Stegostoma tigrinum: one gene and its partners. The protein of the gene in region 2 purifies or fractionates together with the protein of the main gene of each other region. This does not show direct contact. Links are inferred from orthologs where the notes say so. Each region holds a gene or a part of one and is shown on either strand. Other genes may lie near its edges. The genes, in order: itga3b, CD151 antigen and integrin beta-1-like.

Region 1 (7,519 bases), on a different chromosome or scaffold from region 2:
TTGGAAAGTATGCCTGCAAGGAAGTCAGTTGAAGTCAGTGACATACTTGACTGTGACATTTTCCATAATCGAATAACCTGTTGCCACTCCCTGATGAAATTATGTGCAAAGAATGGTCTGTGGAATGATGAAGTAGTGACAGGTAGCCATCAGCAAGTAATCAGAATCCACTGTGAATCACTGCCTGTAGGACAAGTAAAAATTGGAGAAAAGGCTACAGTCATTTTTAATCATGTGTATCTACTTGGTAAAAGATACATATCTGAATTCTGTCAGTAATCAGATGGTCAGACAGAAAAATCATCATCTGGAAAAGCAATTTATTAGAAAAGGCACAAAGCTTAAGATGGTAACTCTGTTTTCTTTCCAAACCTGTTGGGTTCCTCCAGCAATTTCGGTTCCTGTTTGTTTCAGATCTCCAGTATTCGCTGTTCTTTGTTTTAAAACAGTTTATTTGTAGATCTGCAAAATTTTCTGAGCAACCAAACAGCAGTTTCATCATTCTGCATTGGCAACTTCTCATTTTAAAAAGTAGCACAATTTTCAAAACTAAAATGTGCAAAGGGCTGAAAAAGAACATTCAGCCCATCAAGTCTGCTGTGCCACTGAGATCATGGCAGGTCTGATAATCTTCAATTCCACTTTTCTGCCTTTTCCCATAGTCCCTCATTCCCTTTCTCATTGGAATAGCAAGGTTCCCCTCGGTGTCTGAGGCAGACAGGCAGAGGGCCCCAGGGTGAATTCCTGACCACAGTACAAAGTTTACCTATTCTCAGCTGGAGTTGCTTCAAGGTCTCCCTTTTAAGGCGGGGGCAATACAAGGAGGTTTCAAATTCTTTATGTACCAGTGTAACGATGAGATGAAAGGCGGATTGGAGATCAACTTAGCTCGATATTATCCAAGTTTCTGTGTGCGTACAACCATTTCAGTGAAACATTAGGTGGCACTGGGTAACACGGTTTAGCGGAGAACATCCAGAAAAGAAAGGGGAACGAAAGTTGAGGAGAGAAAGTCAGTTCTGTGTTCAAACCATGCGGAAAAATGGTCGGGCAAAACACTTCCCAACTCTTTACTTGAATGTCAGCCCTGCATAAATGCAGTTGGCGAAAGTGTGGCTGGTCAGATCTGAGTGAATGATTCACTGAGCAAATTGGATCAATGCGTTTTTTTTTCAGATCGTTAGGGTGATTAAGCAGAGGGGTGAGGCAACAGTCTGTAAAGCAACATGCCATTCCAATCCCAAGTTTACGTTTCTCGAAATCTACTACAACAAACGCATGCAAGACGAAAACAAAATTCTAAAGTCTCCACGGGAGCCCCAGGTAGATCAGTGAACTCTGAGGGGGAAAGCCTGGGTCTCACGTTCAACAATTTGTGTCTGCAAAAGGAAATATGCAGTGCTACCCTTCCCCCAGCCCACAAATCCGCGAAAGGAATGTCTTGCTGATAAGTCCTTTATCCTTCTATTAAAGCAGCACTCAGCTTAGACAAACAAGCCAAGTTTCCCACTCCCCAAGGCACAGGATGATGGGCTTGGGAGCCCCTGTGATTCCGGAGTTTGCACAGCCACAAAACACATTCACTTTGCGATTACAGGTGTCCCGAGCACACCGGTCACTTGCTCCTAAAACCACATCGCCAACCATCTCCACCGCGAAAACCTGAATACAAAAGAACACGCAGATCGATCCGGGGACAGGACAGATTTGTGATCTAACGAAGACCTATCACTGGACTCGGAAATTGAACTGTTTCTCTCCCTCTCCCTCTCTGCACAGACCTACTGAATTTCTCCAGCAATTTCTATTTCTGTTTCAGATGAGTGAACTACTTCGAGCGTCTAAACGCACCTCCACAAACATAGCACACAGAGACACAGGGGGAAAGTCTCAAACTGGGAACACTCGCACCGAAGAATTGCTGGAAGCGATGTATATTAAACCCATATCCCACCCCATTCAGAAACAACTCCACACTATCCTCAGTTCATGACGTAAAGCGGTCAGCAACCTACTCCCACTGCACACTCCATTTGAGAAAGTCCTTACGGTGTCTCCTCACCGAAATGCAAGGCAAATCGAGAAAACAAAACGCAAAGCGATTGATATTGTGTTTCTGCCGGCGATCTGGGTTGTCCCGGACTCACACACAAGGTGTGGGGATACTTGGAGATAACGCTTCAGGAAGAGACTATGACAATCAGTACACTGTCTCACGCTCTCTGAGCTATCTGCCAGCGTCGCCGCGCCTCAACCGGTCTGAAAAGTTTCCATTCCCTAAACTTTGCACAGAATTTGCAACAGACCAGCACCCGCTGAGTTAAAGCCGCTGAAAAATCAAGTTTATGGCTCAGGAAGATAGGCTATTCGTTTAGAAGGGAACTCACATTCATATAAGTATATATGTATTAGAAGTGTAGTATACTGAGAGGATTTTAAAAATACTCCAATAGAAACTGCTGCAAATAAGGATGTGAATTTGTAAAACTACTTCATAACGAACGTTAAAACTAAGCCAGTAACATTCCTTTTTTTTCTTTTTTTAAAAAGTTCAATCAACAGTTCTCGGGTTTTAAAAGTCGATCCCATTTTACAGCATTTCACCTGTACTTACAAACTACTACCACCGGTACAATTCCTAAGCAACCCACCGTCCCTCGCCAGCCACCAGCGCGCACACACACACACACACACACACACCGCTCCCTCCCTCTCTCTCTCATTCCTGATCCATAATGCACTTACAGGTAGCGATCCTGATCTTTCAGTTGTCGGTGTAACGCCACCGAATATCCGAAGTAGCTGCCGGGTGGTCCCTGTTTAATGATCGGGAACTTCACATCGATGTTAAAAGCAGAAGAGACCGCCACCGCGGTTGATAGGAGAAGGTATAGCCCGGGCTGAAACTGAGGAGCTGTATAAGGCGCCATGTCGATTTCAAAGGCGGTCTGAGTTACACGGTGATACTGCAAGTACCCAGTCTCTCTCCACACCCTCTAGCACTGTACACGCCTGCCCTTCAAACCTGCGCATAGATGAGGCTTTCCTTCCCGACTCAATCAGATCGACTCAGCACTTTGCAGACCTTAAAACGGCAATGTCATTCCAAAACCTCACTATTGATGTACAGTTTTGTTTTAATTCACCCTGGGGAAAACCCAGGAAAGGATTAATTATATCAAATGATTGCCTCCATTCTCGAGTTACTTGGACTATTATGATTTCAAATTCAGGTTGTGGGTCCCACTAGTTAATTGGCAATTTGATGCCATGAGCAGAGGAACCACAAACGAGGTTAAATGAACTAATGATAAATATGTATATTAAAAAATTGTGGATGCTGGAAATTAGAAACACAAATAGAAATTGTTGGGAAAACTCAACAGGTCTGGCAGCTTCTGTCGTTGGAAAGTAGATTTTGTATTTCAGGCCCAATGGCCCTTCTTCAGAACACAAGCAATGTTAATTCTGCGTTCTCTCCCCAGATTCTGCCAGACCTGCTGAGAATTCCCATTATAGAATCATACGGCTCTACACCATTGAAACAGACACTCCAGTCCGGTTTGTCCACGCTGACCAGATATCCTAAATTAATCTAGACCCATTTGCCAGCATTTGACCCATATCCCATGAAACTTTTCCTATTCGTATACCCATCCAGATGCCTTTTAAATGTTTTAATTGTACCAGCCTCCACCACTTCTTCCAGCAGCTCATTCTATACACACACTACCTTCTGTGTGAAAAGTTGCCCGTTTGGTCACTTTCAAACCTTTCTCCTCTCACCTTAACCCTATGACCTCTGGCCTGCACTCCTCCACCATTGGGAAAAGATAAGACCATAAGACTATAAGACATGGGAGTGGAAGTAAGGCCATTCGACCCATCAAGTCTACTCCGCCATTTAAATCATGGCTGATGGGCATTTCAACACCACTTCCCTGCACTCTCCCCGTAGTCCTTGACTCTCTCTGAGATCAAGAATTTGTCGATCTCTGCCTTGAAGGCATCCTACATCCCGGCCTCCACTGCACTCTGCGGCAATGAATTCCACAAGCCCACCACTCTCTGGCGGAAGAAATGTCGCCTCATTTCAGTTTTATATTTACCCCCTCTAATTTTAAGGCTGTGCCCATGGGTCCTAGTCTGCCCACCTAATGGAAACAACTTCCTAGCGTCCACCCCTTCTAAACCATGCATTATCTTGTAAGTTTCTATTAGATCTCCCCTCAACCTTCTAAACTCTAATGAGTACAATCCCAGGATCCTTAGCCGTTCACCATACATTAAACCTACCGTTCCAGGCATCATCCGTGTGAATCTCCACTGGACATGCTCCAGGGCTAGTATGTCCTTCCTGAGGTGTGGGCCCAAAATTGGACACAGTATTCTAAATGGGGCCTAACTAGAGCCTTATAAAGCTTCAGAAGCACATCGCTGCTTTTATATTCCAACCCGCTTGAGATAAATGATAACATTACATTCGCTTTCTTAATTACGGACTCTACCTGCAAGTTAACCTTTAGAGAATCCTGGACCAACACTCCCAGATCCCTTTGCACTTCTGATTTGCGAATTTTCTCACCGTTTGGAAAATAGTCTATTCCTGTACTCTTTTTTCCAAAGTGCAAAACCTCACATTTACTCACATTGAATTTCATCAGCTATTTCCTGGACCACTCTCCTAAACTGTCCAAATCTTTCTGCAGCTTCCCCACCTCCTCAGTACTACCTGCCTGTTCACCTATCTTCGTATCATCAGCAAACTTCGCCTGAATGCACCCAGTCCCTTCATCCAGATCATTAATACATAAGGTGAACAGCTGTGGCCCTAACACTGAACCCTGCGGGACACCACTCGTCACCGGTTGCCATTCCGTAAAAGAGCCTTTTATCCCAAATCTCTGCCTTCTGTCAGACAGCCAATCCTCAATCCAAGCCAGTAGCTCACCTCGAACACCATGGGCCCTCACCTTGCTCAGCAGCCTCCCGTGAGGCACTGTATCAAAGGCCTTTTGGAAGTCTGGATACATAACATCTACTGGGTTTCCCTGGTCTAACATACTTGTTACCTCTTCAAAGAATTCTAACAGGTTTGTCAGGCACGACCTTCCCTTACTAAAACCATGCTGACTTGTTTTAATCTGAGGTTCAGCTAATCGGCCTATAATTTTCCTTCTTTTGCCTTGATTTTTTCCTAAACAAGGGAGTTACAACAGCAATTTTCCAATCATCTGGGACTTTCCCTGACTCCAGTGACTTTTGAAAGATCACGACCAAAGCCTCCGCTATTTCCTCAGCCACCTCCCTCAGAACTCTAGGATGTAGCCCATTGGGGCCAGGAGATTTATCAATTTTTAAACCCTTTAGCTTTTCTAGCACTTTCTCTTTTGTAATGCCTACCATACTCAACTCTGCCCCCTGGCTCTCCCTAATTGTTGGCATACTACTCATGTCTTCCACTGTGAAGACTGACGCAAAGTACTTATTAAGTTCTTCAGCTATTTCCTTATCTCCCATCACTACCCTTCCAGCATCAATTTGGAGCGGCCCAATATCTACTTTTGCCTCTCGTTTGTTTCTTATGTATTGAAAGAAGCTTTTACTATCATTTCTAATATTACTAGCTAACCTACCTTCATATTTGATCTTCTCCTTCCTTATTGCTCTCTTTGTTACCCTCTGTCTGTTTTTGAGGCCTTCCCAATATTCTGATTTCCCAGTGCACTTGGCCACTTTATAGGCTGTCTCTTTTTCTTTGATATATTTCCTGACTTCCTTTGTCAGCCATGGCTGTCTAATCCCACCCCGGATAATCTTTCTTTTCTTTGGGATGAACCTCTGTACTGCGTCCTCAATTACACCCAGAAACTCCTGCCATTGTTGGTCTACTGTCTTCCCCGTTAGGCTCTGCTCTTGGATCTAGATCTAGATCTTGGCTAATCACTCTATCCATACCCCTCATGATTTTATAAACTTCTATAAAATCACCCCTTAGCCTTCGACGCTCCAGGGAAATTAGCCCCAGCCTATTCAGCATCTCCCTATAGCTCAAGGCCTTCAACCCTGGCAACATCCTTTTAAATCTTTTTTGAACCCTTTCAAGATTCACAACATCCTTTCTACAGCAGGGAGACCGTAACTGAACACAATATTCCAAAAGTAGCATAACCAATGCCCAGTACGCCCGCAACATGATCTCCCAACTCCTCTACTTAATGCACTGACCAATAAAGGCAAGTCAATGGTAAATATAATACATGCGGAAGAAATGTCACTGGACTCCAAACAATTATTCTGTTCCTATCTCTGCAGATGCTACCAAACGTGCTGAGTTTCTGCAGCAATTTTTGTTTTGTTTCAGATCTTCAGCACTTGCAGATTTTTTTAATTGAACTATAATGTTAAATACAACCTCATCTTAAGGGTAGGTTTAAAACTGGTGCAATCATATAATTGTGAACATATTATCAGCAGCCAAATTCCAAACTGGAAGTGCAAACTATTTTCACAATTTTAATTGCAAATTAAGTTTCAGATGGAAACTGCATTGAAGTATGGGTACAGCAAGAGGTGGCAATGAAGATGATCTTTTCCTCAATCTTCCATGAAGATTTCGTGTAATTTATGTTCATCTCAAAAAATAGCTGTTGGAATTGTCTCCTGTGATTCTTTCAAAAGTGCTTTATTGGCAGGAAAGCACATTGAAATATCTTGGGGTCATGAAAAGCACCAATAACATGAACATTTATTTTCCATCCTGAAATGGTTGTGGTTTACTTGGACTTTTCAAAAGCTTTCAATAGGGTCCCAAATAAGAGATCAGCATACAAAACTGAAGTGCATGGAAATGAGAGAAATGTACTGACATGGATAAAGAACCGTCAGGAAACAAACAGTAGGAATAAATGGATCTTCTTCTTATGGCAGCCAATGGCTGGCGGGGCACCATAGAGACCTGTGCTTGGACCCTACCTATTCAGAATAAAAAAAATCAATCACTGGATGAGCAAACTAAATGCAACATCTCCAAGTTTGCAAGTGACACAAAACTGGGTGGGTGAGCTGTGAGGAGGATGTAGAAATGCTTCAGTGTGATTTAGACAAGTTGAATGAGTAGGCAAATAGATGGCAGATCTATTGATGGCAGATTAAATATAATGTCGACAAACATGATGTTATCCACTTTGATAGCAAAAACAGAAAGGCAGGCTATGGTCTGGATGGTGATAGATTGGGAAAGAGGGGGCTACAACAAAACACCAGTTGCTGAGAATAAGCATGGAATCGTAGAGAAATGGATCGATTAGGACTATATTCTCTGGAGTTTAGAAGAGTGACAGAGGATCTCACAGAAACCTAAAACATTCTAACAAGACTAGATGGGCAACTTCAATAGGGGAGCATATCCAGGTGAACCTGTGTAATTCACTGCCACAGAAACTAGTTAAAGCAAAAACATTAAATGTATTCAAAAAGGTGTTAGATATAGTTCGTAGGCAGAAAGGATCAAGTGAAA
Region 2 (7,700 bases):
CAGTTGTTGTGCGCCCGTCCCTTACCGGTTGCTGTAGCCTCTGCTCGCTGTTTCTGTTTCTCTCTCACACACACACACACACCCTCTCACTGTCCCAGCGGCTGTGCCCAGCTCCGGGGGCTGCCCTCCGACTCACTTCGCTTCAACTGCACTCGCCGAAAATGACAAAGCATCGATAAACCCGCCCCGTCTCAAACTGAGCCCTGCCTCATCCCGGAGCAACCCAGCCTGGCCCCAGGGCCACCCACACACGGGGTTGTGCCAGTGTCACTGCGTTCCCCTACCACCTAGTGGAAACAGAGAGCACCACAGTACAATACTCATGTAGCTGCATTCATATAGCACCGAGAGAAACCCAGCAATGTCAGGCTAGCCCCCAGGACACCCAGAGCATTCACACACAGAGGGAGAGCACAGGGCAATGCTACTGTAACTGCATTCATATGACATCTAGTGGATATGGAGACAGAGAGAAAGAGAGACACCATGTACTGTACTAATGTAACTGCATTCATCTAGCACCGAGTGAAACACAGCACTGTCAGGCCAATCCCAGCACACCTAGTGCATAGACACAGAGAGGGAGACCACAGGGCAGTACTAACATAACCACATTCCCTAGTGCCTAAGTGGATACACGCAGAGTGAAATAGAGACACCACACTACAATCCTAATGTAACTGCATTCATCTAGCACCTACAGAAACACAGTAAGCCAACCCCGGGACACCTAGTAAATACACAGAGAGAGATCACAGTGAAAAACACACACAGCTTCAGGTTTATTATTGTACTTTAAAGTAAGAAGCCAGCCCTCCTTATGGTTGCCATCTGAACAGGCCTAGAGAGCCAAGTGGTTGCATAGGAGTGCCACAGAAATAGCTGCCAGCCTCTGGACTGAGCAAAGAATACAGCCCTCAGAGGCCTCCAAACTGACCCTGAGAGGGGGGGACCCTGTAGCTGAATTAGCAGAGCTGTCCCACAGGCCAGTCAGCGGACATAGACTCATGGAATCTGACTTTACAATGTCCCACACCCTGCTATCAGCCAGCTTGATTTTAATTAATATATAAACAATATAAATGAGAAGGTGGGGAGACAATGATAAGAGAGGTTGGATAAGTTCAAGCTGTTTTCTTTAGAGCAGAGAAGGTTAAGAGGGAACCTGATTGGAGTGTATAAGTTTATGTGGAGCAAGGACAGGGTGTACAGAAAGCAGCTGTTCCCCTTAGTTGAAGGGTCAATAAAGGGGGCATAAGTTTAAAGTGAAAAGCAGGAGGTTTAGACAGGATTGTAAATAAAAATATTTTCACCCAGAAGGTGGAAGGGATCTGGAATGTACTGCCCAGGAGGGTAGTTGACGCAGAAACCTCACAACCTTTAAAAACCCAGCTATGCCTGCCTGTTTGTAGGTTATGTCAAACAGACGCTCATTAGAACATATACTAATATTGTTCCCGAACTCTTCCGCCATTACCTCGATGACTACGTTAGTGCTGCGTCCTGCACCCAGGCTGAACTGGAACAGGTTATAAACTTCACTAACAACTTCCACACCGACCTCAAATTCACTTGGTCTATCTCAGACACCCCCCTCCGTTTTTGTGACCTGTCCATTTCCATTTCTGGTGACAGTTTACGGACTGACACTTACTGTAAATCCACATATTCCCATAGCTACCTAGACTACACCTCCTCCCACCTTGTATCCTGCAAAAACCCAATTCCATTTTCCCAATTCCTCCGCCTCCATTACATCTGGTCTGATAAGAAAATGTTCCACTCCCAAGCATCCTGAATGTCTGCCTTTTCCAAACAATGCTCTTTTCCCACTTCTGTCATTCAGACGGCCCTCCACCGTGCCCTTTCCATTCTCTGCTCCACAGCTCTTAACCACCCACCAACAAAACATAATAAAGATAGCACCCTCCTTGTCCTCACTTTCCAATCCACCAGCATCTGCATCTAACGTATCATCCTCAAACACTTGCGCCAATTCCAATTAGACCCCACCGCCAGGAACATCTCCCACTCCCCACCCGTCTCTGCCTTCTGCAAGGACCATTCCCTTTGCCACTCCTTAGCTCATGCCACACTCCCTACCAACCACTCCGACCCACCCAGTATCTTTCCCTCTAACCATAAAAGATACAATATCTGCCCACACACCACCTCCCTCACCTATATTCAGGGCTGTGAACAGTCCTTCAAGTGAGACAGAACTTCACCTGCATCTTCTCCAACCTAGTCTATTACTTCTGATGATGCCAATGTGGTCTTCTTTACGTCAGTGTGACCAAACGTAGACTACATAACTGTTTCGCCGAACATCTTCGCCCGGCCCGTAACAGCCAACCTAACCTCCTAGTCATCTCCCATTTCAAACCCCACCACTGCACCCCCCCACCCACCACCCCCCTCCAACATGTCCATCCTCAGCCTTTTCCAGTGTCGCAGCGAACAAGAACACAAATTTGAAGAACAACACCTTATCTTCTGCCTGGGCACCCTACAGCCTGTAGGACTCAACATTGAGTTCTCCAAATTCAAATAACATTCCCAGCCACCCCCCCACCTCCCTTTCCAGACCCTTCCATTCCGCCTACTGACCCTCTCTTCCAGCCATCAACTGCATTCAACCCTCCCATCAACCAACCAGGTCATACCTGCCACCAGTGTCCACCTATCACCACCAATCTGTTAAAGCCCCCCCATTTATCTGCAGCTCCCCCTCCCCCCCCATATCCAGTCCTGAAGAAGGGTAATACCCAAAACCTTGGCAGCACTTTTCCTCCAGACGCTGGCTGGCCTGCTGTGTTCTCCCAGCTTCCCGTTTGCCTACCTTTAAAAAGTCCTCGGATGAGCATTTGAAATGTCATACTGTTCAAGGCTGTGGACCTAGTGCCGGAAAGTGGGAATAGCAAAGATAGGTTGATGCAGACATGAAGGGCTGAAGGGCCTCTCCTATGCTGTATGACTCAATGACCCTCCCCGGATCTGGCAGAAGTGTATAGTCCAGTTGGAAAGGAGACAGCGTTTGCACTTCTTACAAGTGTGTTGGACATAGCAAAATACTTGAGAGCCATGGGTGGGTTTTGGAAATGTCATCACTGTTGTAAGAAGCACAAGAGCCAGTCTGTACACGGCAACCTCTTCCCAGCAGCTGTGTGACAATATAGTAACATAGGAACAGGAGGAGGCCTGTTCTGCCATTCAATGAGATCATAGCCGATACATGGCCTCACTCTATATACCTGACTTCGGCCCATATCCCTTTGGTTAACGAAACTTCATCTATCACAGATGTAAAATTTTAGATTTTATCTACCAATAAATTTAAAATCATCAGCCAATAAAATCTGATCTGGAAGAAGAGTTCCAAATCTCTCCCACCCGTTTAGCGTAGAAGTGCTTCCTGACATCTCTCCTGAAAGGTCTGGCCCTAATTCTCAGACTATGTCCCCAGTTCTCGAATCACCAGCCAATGGAAAGAGTTTGCCTTTATCTCCCCTGTCCTTTTCAGTTAATATCTTGAAGACTTCAATCATATCACCCTTTTATCCTTCTAAATAGCAGAGAAAACATGCCCAATTTGCATAACTTCTCCTCATAACTTAACCCCTGAAGCCCAGGTGTGTTTCTTGTGAACCTACATTAGAAGATAGAACACTACAGCACAGTACAGGCCCTTCGGCCCTCGATGACATTGTACCCCCTCCAAGGACTATCTCTCCCTCCTAAGATGTGGTGCCCGTGTTTGCTCACAATACCCCAAGGGAGGGGGTCTATCCAGGTTTTTGTAAAACTACAGCCTTGTACTCCAGTCACAGAGCTATACAGCGTACAAACAGGCCCTTTGGCCCACAAATCATTATGCTGGTCCCAGTCATCTCGATATAAAGGCCAGTGTTCCATTTGCTTTCTTGATTATTGTCTGTTCATGACATTTTAAGATCCATGCACCTGAATCCCCAAGTCTCTTTGGACAGTCACTGTATTTAACTTCATACCATCCAGAGAGTACCGTCAACTATGCTTTCCTGCTCCTCTGTTGCTGCTTGGCCTGCTGTGTTCATCCAGCTCTAAAGCTTGTTATCACCCTCTAAACCCTTCCTATTCATATACCCATCCAGATGCCTTTTCAATGTTGTCATTGTACCAGCCTCCACCACGTCCTCTGGCAGTTCATTCCATACATGCACCACCCTCCTCATGAAAAAGCTACCACTCAGGCCCCTTTTAAATCTTTTCCCTCTCACCTTAAATCCATGTCCTTTTGTTTTGGACTCCCCTACCCTGGGGGAAAAGACCTTGGCTATTCACCTTGTCCATGCTCCTCATGATTTTATAAAACTCTATAAGGTCCCTGCTCAGCCTCCAACACTACAGGGAAAATAGCCCCTAGCATGACTGACTCTGTTTCCATTCTCAATTCCACAGGCTGTAGCCTGAAGGATTTAAACTGTTAGACTTTCGGGAATTATTCCAGATTCTTACTCACCACCCGGGAATTTCTGACTATTGTTCTCCAGTGTCTAAAATCAATGGGTGGGGAAATATTAGCTAAGTGGTTAAGGGAGGTATCACAGGAGGCAGGGGTGGGGGGCAAGGACTGCAGTTTGAAATGTGATAGAAATGATAGATGAATTGCTGCTACCAGGGGTTGCATTTTGAGAAGGAGCAAAAAGAGAGAAAGAACTTTCCCTGCCCATGGGGACAACAAAACCATGTTTCAGTGTGAGCTGTGTTGTTGTATGATTGAGTCTAGCTGGAACGCACAGGCTGTGGGAGGGAGATGCAGGCAGCTTTGTTACAAGCCCAGTACAGATCAAAACCCAATTTGTGAGAGGACCATTATTGTCCTTCACTCTGAGGAGACCAGTGGGTGGGCTAGGGAAATGATGTTTCACAAACAGAATACATTTTCCAGTGAAAAGAGGAAGGGATGAGGAAAGAAAGAGAGAAGAGGGCTGGGGAGAAGAGGGAAGGAAAAGGGAGAGAGAGAATGGAGACAGGAGGAAGAGGAGAGGAGAAAGGAAAGATAAAAGTGTGTAGCAGGGGAAGTCTGGGCGGTGAGGGAGGAGGAGAGACTGGAAGGGAGCCAGAGGGAGAAAAGATAGGGAAGATGGGAAGAAGAGGAGAGCAGGAGAAGAAAAGGAGGGAGGGGTGGGAGTGAGTGAGGGGCAAAAGCGAGCAGGATGTAACTATATATTGTTATACAGTAAATGACAGAACGCTTAGTAGGATCAATGTACAGAGGGATTAGGTGTACAGGTTCACAGGACCGTGAAAGAGGAAACACAAGTGGATAAAGTGGTCAATAAGGCATCTGGCATGCTTGCCTTCATCAGTCAGGGCATAGAGTATAAAAATTGGCAAGTCATGTTGTAGCTGTACAGAGCTTTAGTTCAGCCACATTTGGAATATTGTGTACAGTTCTGGTTGCTGCAGAAGGATAGATAGAATTTTCACAGAATCCCTACAGTGTGGAAACAGGCTCTTCAACCCAACAAGTCCACACTGACCCTCAGAGCATCCCACTCAGACCCATTCCCCCATAATGCACCTAATCTGCACATCCCTGAACACTACAGGCAATTTAGCATGGCCAATCCACCTAACCTGCACATTGTGGGAGGAAACTGGAGCACCCAGAGGAAACCAACGCAAATGCAAGGAGAATGTTCAAACTCCACACTGACAGTCGCCCGAGGGTGGAATCAAACCCAGGACCCTGATGCTGTGAGACATCAGTGTTAACCACTGAACCACCAGAAGTGGAGGATTTGGAGAGGGTACAGAAACAGGGTTTACCAGGATTGAGGGGTATAGATGACGGGAGATTGGAGAAACTTGGTTAGTTATCACTTGAACATCAAAGGATTAGTGGGCTGAAAGACGTTTACCAACTTACCAAGGGCATGGATAGTTGGAGTCTTTCTCCCAGGGTAGAAATGTCAATCACTAGGGAACCGAGATTTAAGGTAAAGAGGGGTAACTTTAAAGGGGATGTAAGAGGCAAGTTTAATTTTACACAGAGAGTGGTAGCTCCTTGGAATGTGCTGCTGGAGGAGTTGTTGGAGGTGGATACAATAGTAATGTTTAAGTGGTATCTTGACAGATATATGAATAGGCAGGGAATAGAGGGATATAGACACCATAGAGGCAAAAGGTTTTTAATTTGGAAACACATCATGTAACAGTGCAGTCTTGATGGGCCAAAGGGCCTGCTGCTGTACTGTACTGTTCTTTGTTCTTTGAGAAAGCCAGAGTATAAAAAGTGAGAGCACTTACAGGGATAATAAAATGTGAGGCTGGATGAACACAACAGGCCAAGCAGCATCTCAGGAGCACAAAAGCTGACGTTTCGGCCTAGACCCTTCATCAGAGAGGGGGATGGGGAGAGGGAACTGGAATAAATAGGGAGAGAGGGGGAGGCGGACCGAAGATGGAGAGTAAAGAAGATAGGTGGAGAGAGTATAGGTGGGGAGGTAGGGAGGGGATAGGTCAGTCCAGGGAAGACGGACAGGTCAAGGAGGTGGGATGAGGTTAGTAGGTAGATGGGGGTGCGGCTTGGGGTGGGAGGAAGGGATGGGTGAGAGGAAGAACCGGTTAGGGAGGCAGAGACAGGTTGGACTGGTTTTGGGATGCAGTGGGTGGGGGGGAAGAGCTGGGCTGGTTGTGTGGTGCAGTGGGGGGAGGGGACGAACTGGGCTGGTTTAGGGATGCAGTAGGGGAAGGGGAGATTTTGAAACTGGTGAAATCCACATTGATACCATTAGGCTGCAGGGTTCCCAGGCGGAATGTGAGTTGCTGCTCCTGCAACCTTCGGGTGGCATCATTGTGGCACTGCAGGAGGCCCATGATGGACATGTCATCTACAGAATGGGAGGGGGAGTGGAAATGGTTTGCGACTGGGAGGTGCAGTTGTTTGTTGCGAACTGAGCGGAGGTGTTCTGCAAAGAGGAGGCAATGTGAGTCTCTCCCCAATCTACCTGCTGTTTCAGGTGAACCTTTGAAAGGTCTGAGATGAAAATGTAATTTAATTAAGTGAGATTTAGTATCAAATTTAAAGAAAAAAAATAAAAACATAGATGTTGCAAAGATTAGACAGAGAATTGTGAAATGTTTAAAAGTCATCAAAAGATGACCAAAATATTAAAAAAAGGAGAGAACATATTTTGAGTATAAATATCAAAATGGATAATAAAAGTTTCTTTAAACATATTTAAAAGGAAAGGCTAAAGAGAACATGGGGAGAATGAGGCTAGGGCAATAATAATGGGGTACCAGGAAATAGCAGAGGAATTTAAAAAATATTTTTCATCAGACTTTACAGTGGAGGAGGACATAAATAGTATTCCAAAAATACAGAATAATCAATAGGCAAAAGGAGGAAATGAACTAATTGCAGTAACTCAGCAGAGAAAAAATTGTTAGGGAAACTTATGGTGCTAAAGACTGATAAGTCCCTTGGACTGATGGGTTACATCTGAAGATATTAAAATAAGTAGCTTCAGATATAGTGGATGCATTGGTTCAGGATTCTTTAAATTCTGGAAAAGTCCCAGAGGATTGGAAAACTGCTCATGTAACATGTTTGTTCAAAAGGGAAGGGAGACAGAAAACATCTAACAAAGCCTAATTTGCTTAGCATCTGTTATTGGAAAAATGTTACAGTCTATTATAAAGGATTTAAT
Region 3 (7,532 bases), on a different chromosome or scaffold from region 2:
TATTAATTATTTAACTGTCAACAACCATTCACATTTGGATGTGGCAGAACTGCAGAGATTAGATTTGATCCACTCATTGTGGAGTTGCTAGCATTTACCCAATGACAGATGTTAGACCAAGGGGCCTACAGTTCCTGCTTTCTGTCTTGTTCCTTTGTTGAATGTGGCAACATACTAGCAAGCCACTGAAACCCTTCGCCAATCCACTGAGTTCTGGAATATTTCAACCATGTGTCCACTTAAAACCTCTGACACAAGTCACAAATCATCGGGTCCTAGGAACACGTCCGCCTTCAGTCCTTTGAGTTTGCCAAATACCTCAAAATTTTGTGAAAGAAACTTAACAAGATCTTTCTCTCCATTAGTACCTTGCTTATCTATTGCCTTTGGGATTTTTACTGTGTCCTCCTTTGTGAACAGCAATGTAAAATATTAGTTTAAACTATGTGTCATTTCCCCATTCTGTTATCAATTCCACAGATGCATCCTTTAGGAGTCCCACGCCTACCTTTAAAACTGGATTGGTTGTTCCTTTCTGTTGGTTCCCGCACGACCTGCAGCAAATCCATTCTAGCAGCTCTCTCCTTTTGAACTCAACCAGTTCATTCAGTAGTGGCACTACTAAAAAACTGTTGGTGATGGATATTGAAGTTTCTGGCCCAGAGTATGTCCTTTTCATTGGTGTTCAACATGAAGTGCAGAGCAATCAGCTGAGGGGTCAATAGATGGCAATCAGCAGGTGATTTCCTCGTTTCTGTTGGACCTGATGCAATGAGACTTTGTTGGGTTCATGGCCGATGTTGACTCCCAAGAAAAAACTAGCCCCATTGTATACCATCATCTGTGAGGGGCCTGTCCTGCCAGTGGGACAGGACATATCCAGTGGTCGTGCACTGGTATCCGAGACCTTGGATACCAGGTCCAAGATATCCTGGTATCAGACTCAATTCCACGAGTATGACCAAGAGTATTGCTCAACTAGTCCATGGGTTAACTCTCAATTTTGGCACAAACCTGCACGTTAGTAAGAAAGGCTTTGCATGGTTGACAGGGCTGTTCTTGCCATGGTCTTTTCTGGTATTTAGGTGGATGCCGGCTGATCCACGCATTTTTATTTCTCTTATATTGACTTGTGATGCAAAGACTGTTTCACTTATGGCACGTGGCCCTAACTGACTACTCATATACAAGTTGAGATGGTGAGCTGTAGTAAGTTCATCAATAAAAAGGGAAACACAACACCTAAACAAAATTAAAAATACTGCAGATGCTGGAAATTTGGAACAAATACAAAGAATGCAGGAGAAACTCAGCAGATCTGGCAATATTGGCTGAGAAACAAAGTTAATGGTGAGTCCAGTACGACTCCTCTTCAGAATGGAGTATTGACTCCATGATACTAAAGGAAAAAAATAGTTAGTCATTCACTCATTGATCTCCTGTTGGGATTAGTCAGGAGTTGAGAGTCAGGCTTGAGCATTACATCGAAAATACACAGAGCTGGAGAAACTAAGTTGTACCACACCTGCTGAGTTTCTCCAGAATTCTATTTGTCACAAAATCAGTACTACTGTTCTTACCATCATTTCAGCCAAGATCAATTAATTGAAGAGATGATGCAGTAATTCTAGTACTTTTTTCATAGCTTCAATCTAGCAACCATCATTCGTCAATGTACAGTACAGTACATAAGGTAGCTAAAAGCAATAGCATCTGTAGAATCAGGCAATGTTTTACAAAACTTGTGATATATTTTATTGGGTTAAATTCTAAGAAACCTAAACTAAGTTTATGGATGGAAAGTCAATAGTAAAACTGAATCCTTAAGTTTTCTGATCCACTTTGGAAAGTAGATTCACACTTCTCTAAACACAAATAAATCTTTAAAACTGGAATAAAATTAGTCTTCCTCATTAATACAGAAACAAAACTTTGCTAAATCTTATTTCCTTATTTGTACATATGCGAATATGAAATATAAATAGGTCGCAGTCCATCAATTGCACAGCACAAAGCCTAAAAACGCCTATTGTTTTATCATTTTTAAGCATCTCCACACATTAGGTTCTTTAAGATAGTGAAACACAATGTCCCTAAAACTGTCCAAAGTTCGACTTTTTTTCAACTACTTAATGCGGAGATGATTAATAAAAGGCAGTCAAACGGCAGTCATTTTGCTATGACTTTCAGACAAAAGACGAGGCAAAACAATATACACGCCCTAAGGGCACTTACAAAAAAAGATAGGTATGCAGCATTGTTCAGAACAAACTCTGGTTGTTTAGGTGCCACTAAGAACATTCAATGTTTATGTATCTGAAAGTACAGATCGAGATTACAAATCAAAGCTAAAATAAAACCACCTCTACATGGCACTGAGCTTTTTTTTGCGCGTGTGGGGAGGAGACAGTGTGTGAAGGCTCAATCTGGCCGACAAGAAATGCCCAAATTCTGAATACCAAAAATGTCCACGAAACAGTTGCCTCCCGAGTTCCAGTAGTAAACTGGACTCGACAGCACTCGGAGATTTATCACCCCGGCCCTCCGTGTCTGAGCATGTGTGTGAAAAAGAGATATATATTTAAAATAGCTGCCTGTATCCCCACCCAAAAATAGGACATGTATTACATTCCTGCCCTTTTTGCGGCTGGAGATAGGAAAAGAAAAAAAAGAGAATCTTCTGAGGATACCTCTACCTCCCTCGCCCAAACTCAGGGGCTGGGGGCACACACAAGACGGTGAAGAGCAGCCAGACTCCCACCGGCTTTTCTATTTAAGCTTATCTCCGGGCCGTCCCGCTTACCTTTAACACAAAAGTCTCTCAGACTAAGGATATTTACAGCCGTTAAGATTTATTCTGGCCCCGGCGGCAGTTGTGCTTTGCAGACGTTCCCTCCTTTTAACGCTTCAAATAGCACTTGATCTTCGGGTTTTCTTTTTCTTTAAGCCTCCACCTCAAGCCCAGGCTCCGTTTCTTTTCTCCGGGACGTCGCTCCGTCCAGCGGTGGCGGCGGCTCCCTTGTCTCTCTTCACTCTTTTTTTCCCCCTCTCTCCCTCCCTCCCCCCCGCGACACTGGCTCCTCCTCCGAGCTCAGCCGAACAGGACCGCCGAATGATTCCTAAGGTCAGATGCGCGGTGCCGAATCCTTCCAAGCTCAGGCGAGCGGTGTTGCCGAATGGCTCCGAATTCAGCCGAGGGACGCTGCCGCCCCGCCCCGGAAACCCATTCCAGACTGTAGACGTCATTGCGTGGGCGTGGCGGTGAATGAAGGGTGATGTCATTGCGCGGTGGTGTTCTGCAGTGGAAGGGTGACCCAAGACCGCTTCACTGATCTGCACTTTGGATGGCATCTGGGACTGGCAAAGCTACAACTTTTTCCCCCTCAACTATTCAGCTCAGGTCCATCAGAGAACACCCCGTTCAACACTACAAGGAAGAAAATAAAATCTCTGAAAGACTACAAAAATAACGTTTTGCTTGTTTCATTTAACTTGGAGACTTTTAAAATTCACCCACAGGGCGCGGGCAGAGCTGGCAAGGCCAACCTTAGTTTTCTGTTTCTTGAGAAGGTGAACTACCTTCTTAAAATCTCGAAGGCCGTGTGGTGAGTGTGTTTCTATAAATGCTGTTTTTGATAGGAAGTTCAAGGATTTTGACCGAGAGATCATGCAGAAATCAGTGCATATCAGCAAGCTATCTGATATGAAGGGGAACTTGAACGTGACAGTGTCCCCAACTGCTGCCCATGTTCTAAATGGTGGAGATTATTGATTTAGGAAACGTTGATAAGAGCTTTTACAGCAGGGAAGGAGACCCTTACAACAAAACATGGTGTTTCCAGAACTTACTTAAGTAGTTCCTATCTGTCTAGTTCCTGCCTCTACCACAAATTAAGTGTGACTTGTACAAGTTGTGAGAGTGAGCAAATACATGACAGCTGAAGTATAATGTGAATACATAAGGTTATCCATTTTGGGAACAAAAACAAAAAAGTTGAATTATAACTTGAATAATGGTAGTTTGGAAAATGGGGTGGTGCAACAAGGCCTGGATGTCTTTGCACATCAGTCAATGAAAAGTGACCATTGGAGGTCCAGCAGTCAGCAATGGTGGCAAATGGTATGTTGGCCTCCACAGCAAGAGGATTGGAGTATAGGAGCAGGGGATGTCTTGCTGCATCGTGTAGGGTTGCGATGAAACCAGATCTGGTGTATTGTGGTCAGTTTTGATTTCCTTATCTGAAGAAGTATTTTCTGGCTATTATGGAGGGAGTGCAATAAAGGTTTACCAGATAGATTGCTGGGATGGCAGGGCTGACAAATAAAAACTGGATCACCTAGGGCTATATTCACTGGCATTTATAAGAATTAAGGGGAGCGGGTGTCTCACAGGAGCCTATGAATTCCTACATGACTGGACAGAATATATGCATGAAGGATGTTTCCGATGCCTGGGTAGTTGCAAACTATAGATTGCTATTCAAGGGTATGGGATAGGTCATTTAGAGTTGAGCAGAAATATTTTCATCCAGAGTTCTCTGCCCCAGAAAGTGGTTGAATGTTTAAGGAGTTAAGTTATAGTTCTTAGTACTAAAGGGATCAAAGGGTATGGGGAGAATGCAGGAACCACGTACTGAGTTGGATAATCAGCCATGATCATGTTGAATGGTGGAGCAGTGTCGAAGGGCCAAAATGACCTACTTCAGCTATTTTCAATGTTTTTACATTTCAGGCAGTGAGTTTCAAATGCCCACATTCTTTCAAAGAAAATATTTTCCTTCAAATCCCCTTTAAACCTCCTGCTCCTTACCTTAAACCTGTACTGCCCAGTTATTGACCCCTACGTTAAGGAGAAATGCTTTTCCGTATCTACCCTGTCTCTGCCCCTCAGAACGTTGTGCACCTCAGAGTCCTCCTAATAGCCTTTTCTGCTCTAGAGAAAATGCTGTCAGTCTATATAGTCTCTCTTTACAGATAATCACTTCAGCCCAGACTAGTGAACCTCTTTTACACTCTCTATAGTGCAATCACATCCTTCCTATATTTTGACAGCCATAACTGCCCACAGTACTCCAGCTGTGGTCTAACTAACATATGTAGCTCCATTGTAACCTCCTTGCTTGAGTATGCAACGCCTTGATGAATGAAAGCATGTATCTCATATCCCTTTGTAAACATCCTATTCACCCGCCTTCGAAAATCTATGGACATGCACAGCAAGGTCCCTCTGATCCTCTATACTTCCTAGGATCCTACCGTTCAACATGTATTCCCTTGCCTTTCCCCCCCCCCCCCGCCTCCCACTTTGCAGGATTAAATTCCATTTGTTACTGTTCAGCCCTAAAATTGTTGAAGAAGTGTAACCATGAATATTAGGGATGGGAAAAAGGCTAACTGGCAGTCAAGAATCATTCAATAAGCCAATAAATTGTTTGCTCTGCCTTCCCACATCAATTAAAAAGTGAACATCATGTGGATGAGAATAGTAGACAACTGAAGCCACAAATATGGATTAGGTCAATTGGAAGCATGAGATCATGTTGTAATGTGTCAAACCAGTGTTGACAACTCTGTTTATATCATTAGTGCTCACTAATTGAAATAAACCTGAGCTACGGAAGGATGGAAGCCTTTCAATTCTCTTTTGTACTTGTCATATATATTTGGCAGTTAACCTGTCAGAAATCTTCAGTCTGTAAAATGATGGACATAGAGCAAAGGAAATCCTTTGGATTTGGGAATAGCTTCGTACAATACTCAGATTTCTTTCTTAAAGCAGCAAATGAGTGTCAGGTTTGTCCTCACATACTGCACGACAAAAAAGTGTTGTCACATATCCTTGTGGGTTGTTATTTTTAATGTTAGCACCTCTTGCCAAGGTGTTTACACTATTCTCTGCCATCAGATAGTATCTGCCAGAATCAGTGTTTAGCCAGAATTATGTAACACTGGCAAGTACCTTTGAAGTGGAACATTGGGTGTCTCATCAGTCTCCAGTTCTCTCAGAACACAAAAATGTGGCTATCTTCCTTCTTGTGAATTGCCCAAGCCAATGAAAATGCCTCAGCTTGATAAATACAAGCATACTAGTGCATCCAGAAGTAAAGCGTGCTTTTCATGAGAATTGTAGATGGAAGCTTCTTATATGCCAGCCACAAGTAACATATAAAAAGGAACAGATGGCACTAACAGGTAAAATGACAAAGTAAAAACAATAACAGTAAAAAAATTGAAGATCATCTGTGTCGAGCAAAGCTTAACTGATAGGAGCCATTTGGCTCCGGAACATTAAAATGCAGATTAATTCCCCCCCCCCCCCCGCCACAAACTGGTAATATGATTTGAGTAAGCCAGGCTATACTACTGGACAATGCCAATAACAGGTGATCAGCTAGTTTTATTAATGGATTCTGTAGAACTAAACTTGCAACACTGGAATTCCCTTCACTCACAGTTAGATTACCAAAAGCACGTTGATTAGAACACTCCTTGCATTCAATATGTAACTCATGCACTGTTCTCAGGAATCTCAAAAGGTGAAACACTCCAATACCTCTTACTTTCTCAAAGATTTTCTTTATGGAGACAACACTGCTTATTAAGAGTTTGTTTAATATGTGAAATAGCCAGTATTTGAGTGAAAAATACCACAAATAAACTCGGTCCTTCCTTAGTGTTTTTTCCACTGGCATGTCTAAGCACAATTGCATCATCAATTTATATTTGAAACAATAATCCAAATTCCTCAATTATCCAACCAACTGCCTTCAGAGTGCGGTATTCTCCAGGATCTTAAGTGTCATGAACAGTTAAAATCAGACTTTAAATGAAAAGTAAAGTGCTCAGAATCATAATGATTTATTGCTTTTTGCAAGTTTCCACAGGTAACTTCCTTTAACATTTACATCATTCACTCCACTCCCTACATCTCTATTAAGCTGATCTTAGGTGGCAGTAGTTTGAATGCTAAAATATTCCTCATGCTTCATACTTGATTCCACCAGGTTAGGAAGGGGGCAGTGATCCAGCAAGACCACTCTTGATTGCTTACATTGTGATCACAATTGGAAGTGCCACAAGTAAAGGCAATAGTTTGGAATGAAGTGAAAGAACTTCAATAGGATGAGATTGGAGCTGGCCCATGAAAATAGGCTTTGATAAACATATTGTCTTTGCTAATATTCACTTAAGAATCAAAGGAAAAGAGAACTTTAATGTACTCAATGTGTTTTACATCCTAACAATGTTGCAGAAATGAAGGCCCATTGGTTTATAATCTTTGTCAACTTGTGGGGGAATACTACAGTCAAAATTGAGCATGGCAATGTCTCAGGAATTGAATTTTAAAAAATGACAATATAATCTAGTTAAGTCACGTTGCCCGAGGGATAAATCCTGACCGGGACACTGGGGAGAACACCTGTTAATCATCAAGTACTACCATCAGTTTTTATATTCATATGGGAAGGTAGATGCTGTTTCATTTTCACAGTTAATCCTATGACCCTAGATGCAACTTGTCTGCACTAAGG

The links.
Region 1: the proteins of CD151 antigen (region 2) and itga3b purify together in Homo sapiens (co-immunoprecipitation; 4 studies listed by BioGRID and IntAct, with this or other methods). This does not show direct contact. The link is inferred for Stegostoma tigrinum from reciprocal best matches to the Homo sapiens genes CD151 and ITGA3.
Region 3: the proteins of CD151 antigen (region 2) and integrin beta-1-like purify together in Homo sapiens (affinity purification with western blotting; 4 studies listed by BioGRID and IntAct, with this or other methods). This does not show direct contact. The link is inferred for Stegostoma tigrinum from reciprocal best matches to the Homo sapiens genes CD151 and ITGB1.

The regions. Positions count from the first base shown.
Region 1 is NC_081384.1:21,968,874-21,976,392, forward strand, and holds the start of itga3b (integrin alpha-3b), read right to left. Parts: upstream 3,017-7,519; 5' UTR 2,931-3,016; coding exon 2,746-2,930; intron 1-2,745.
Region 2 is NC_081370.1:8,979,118-8,986,817, reverse strand, and holds the start of CD151 antigen, read right to left. Parts: upstream 3,036-7,700; 5' UTR 2,843-3,035; intron 267-2,842; exon of another isoform or gene 26-266; intron 1-25. UniProt on the Homo sapiens protein: Structural component of specialized membrane microdomains known as tetraspanin-enriched microdomains (TERMs), which act as platforms for receptor clustering and signaling.
Region 3 is NC_081355.1:128,708,192-128,715,723, forward strand, and holds the start of integrin beta-1-like, read right to left. Parts: upstream 3,058-7,532; 5' UTR 2,804-3,057; intron 1-2,803.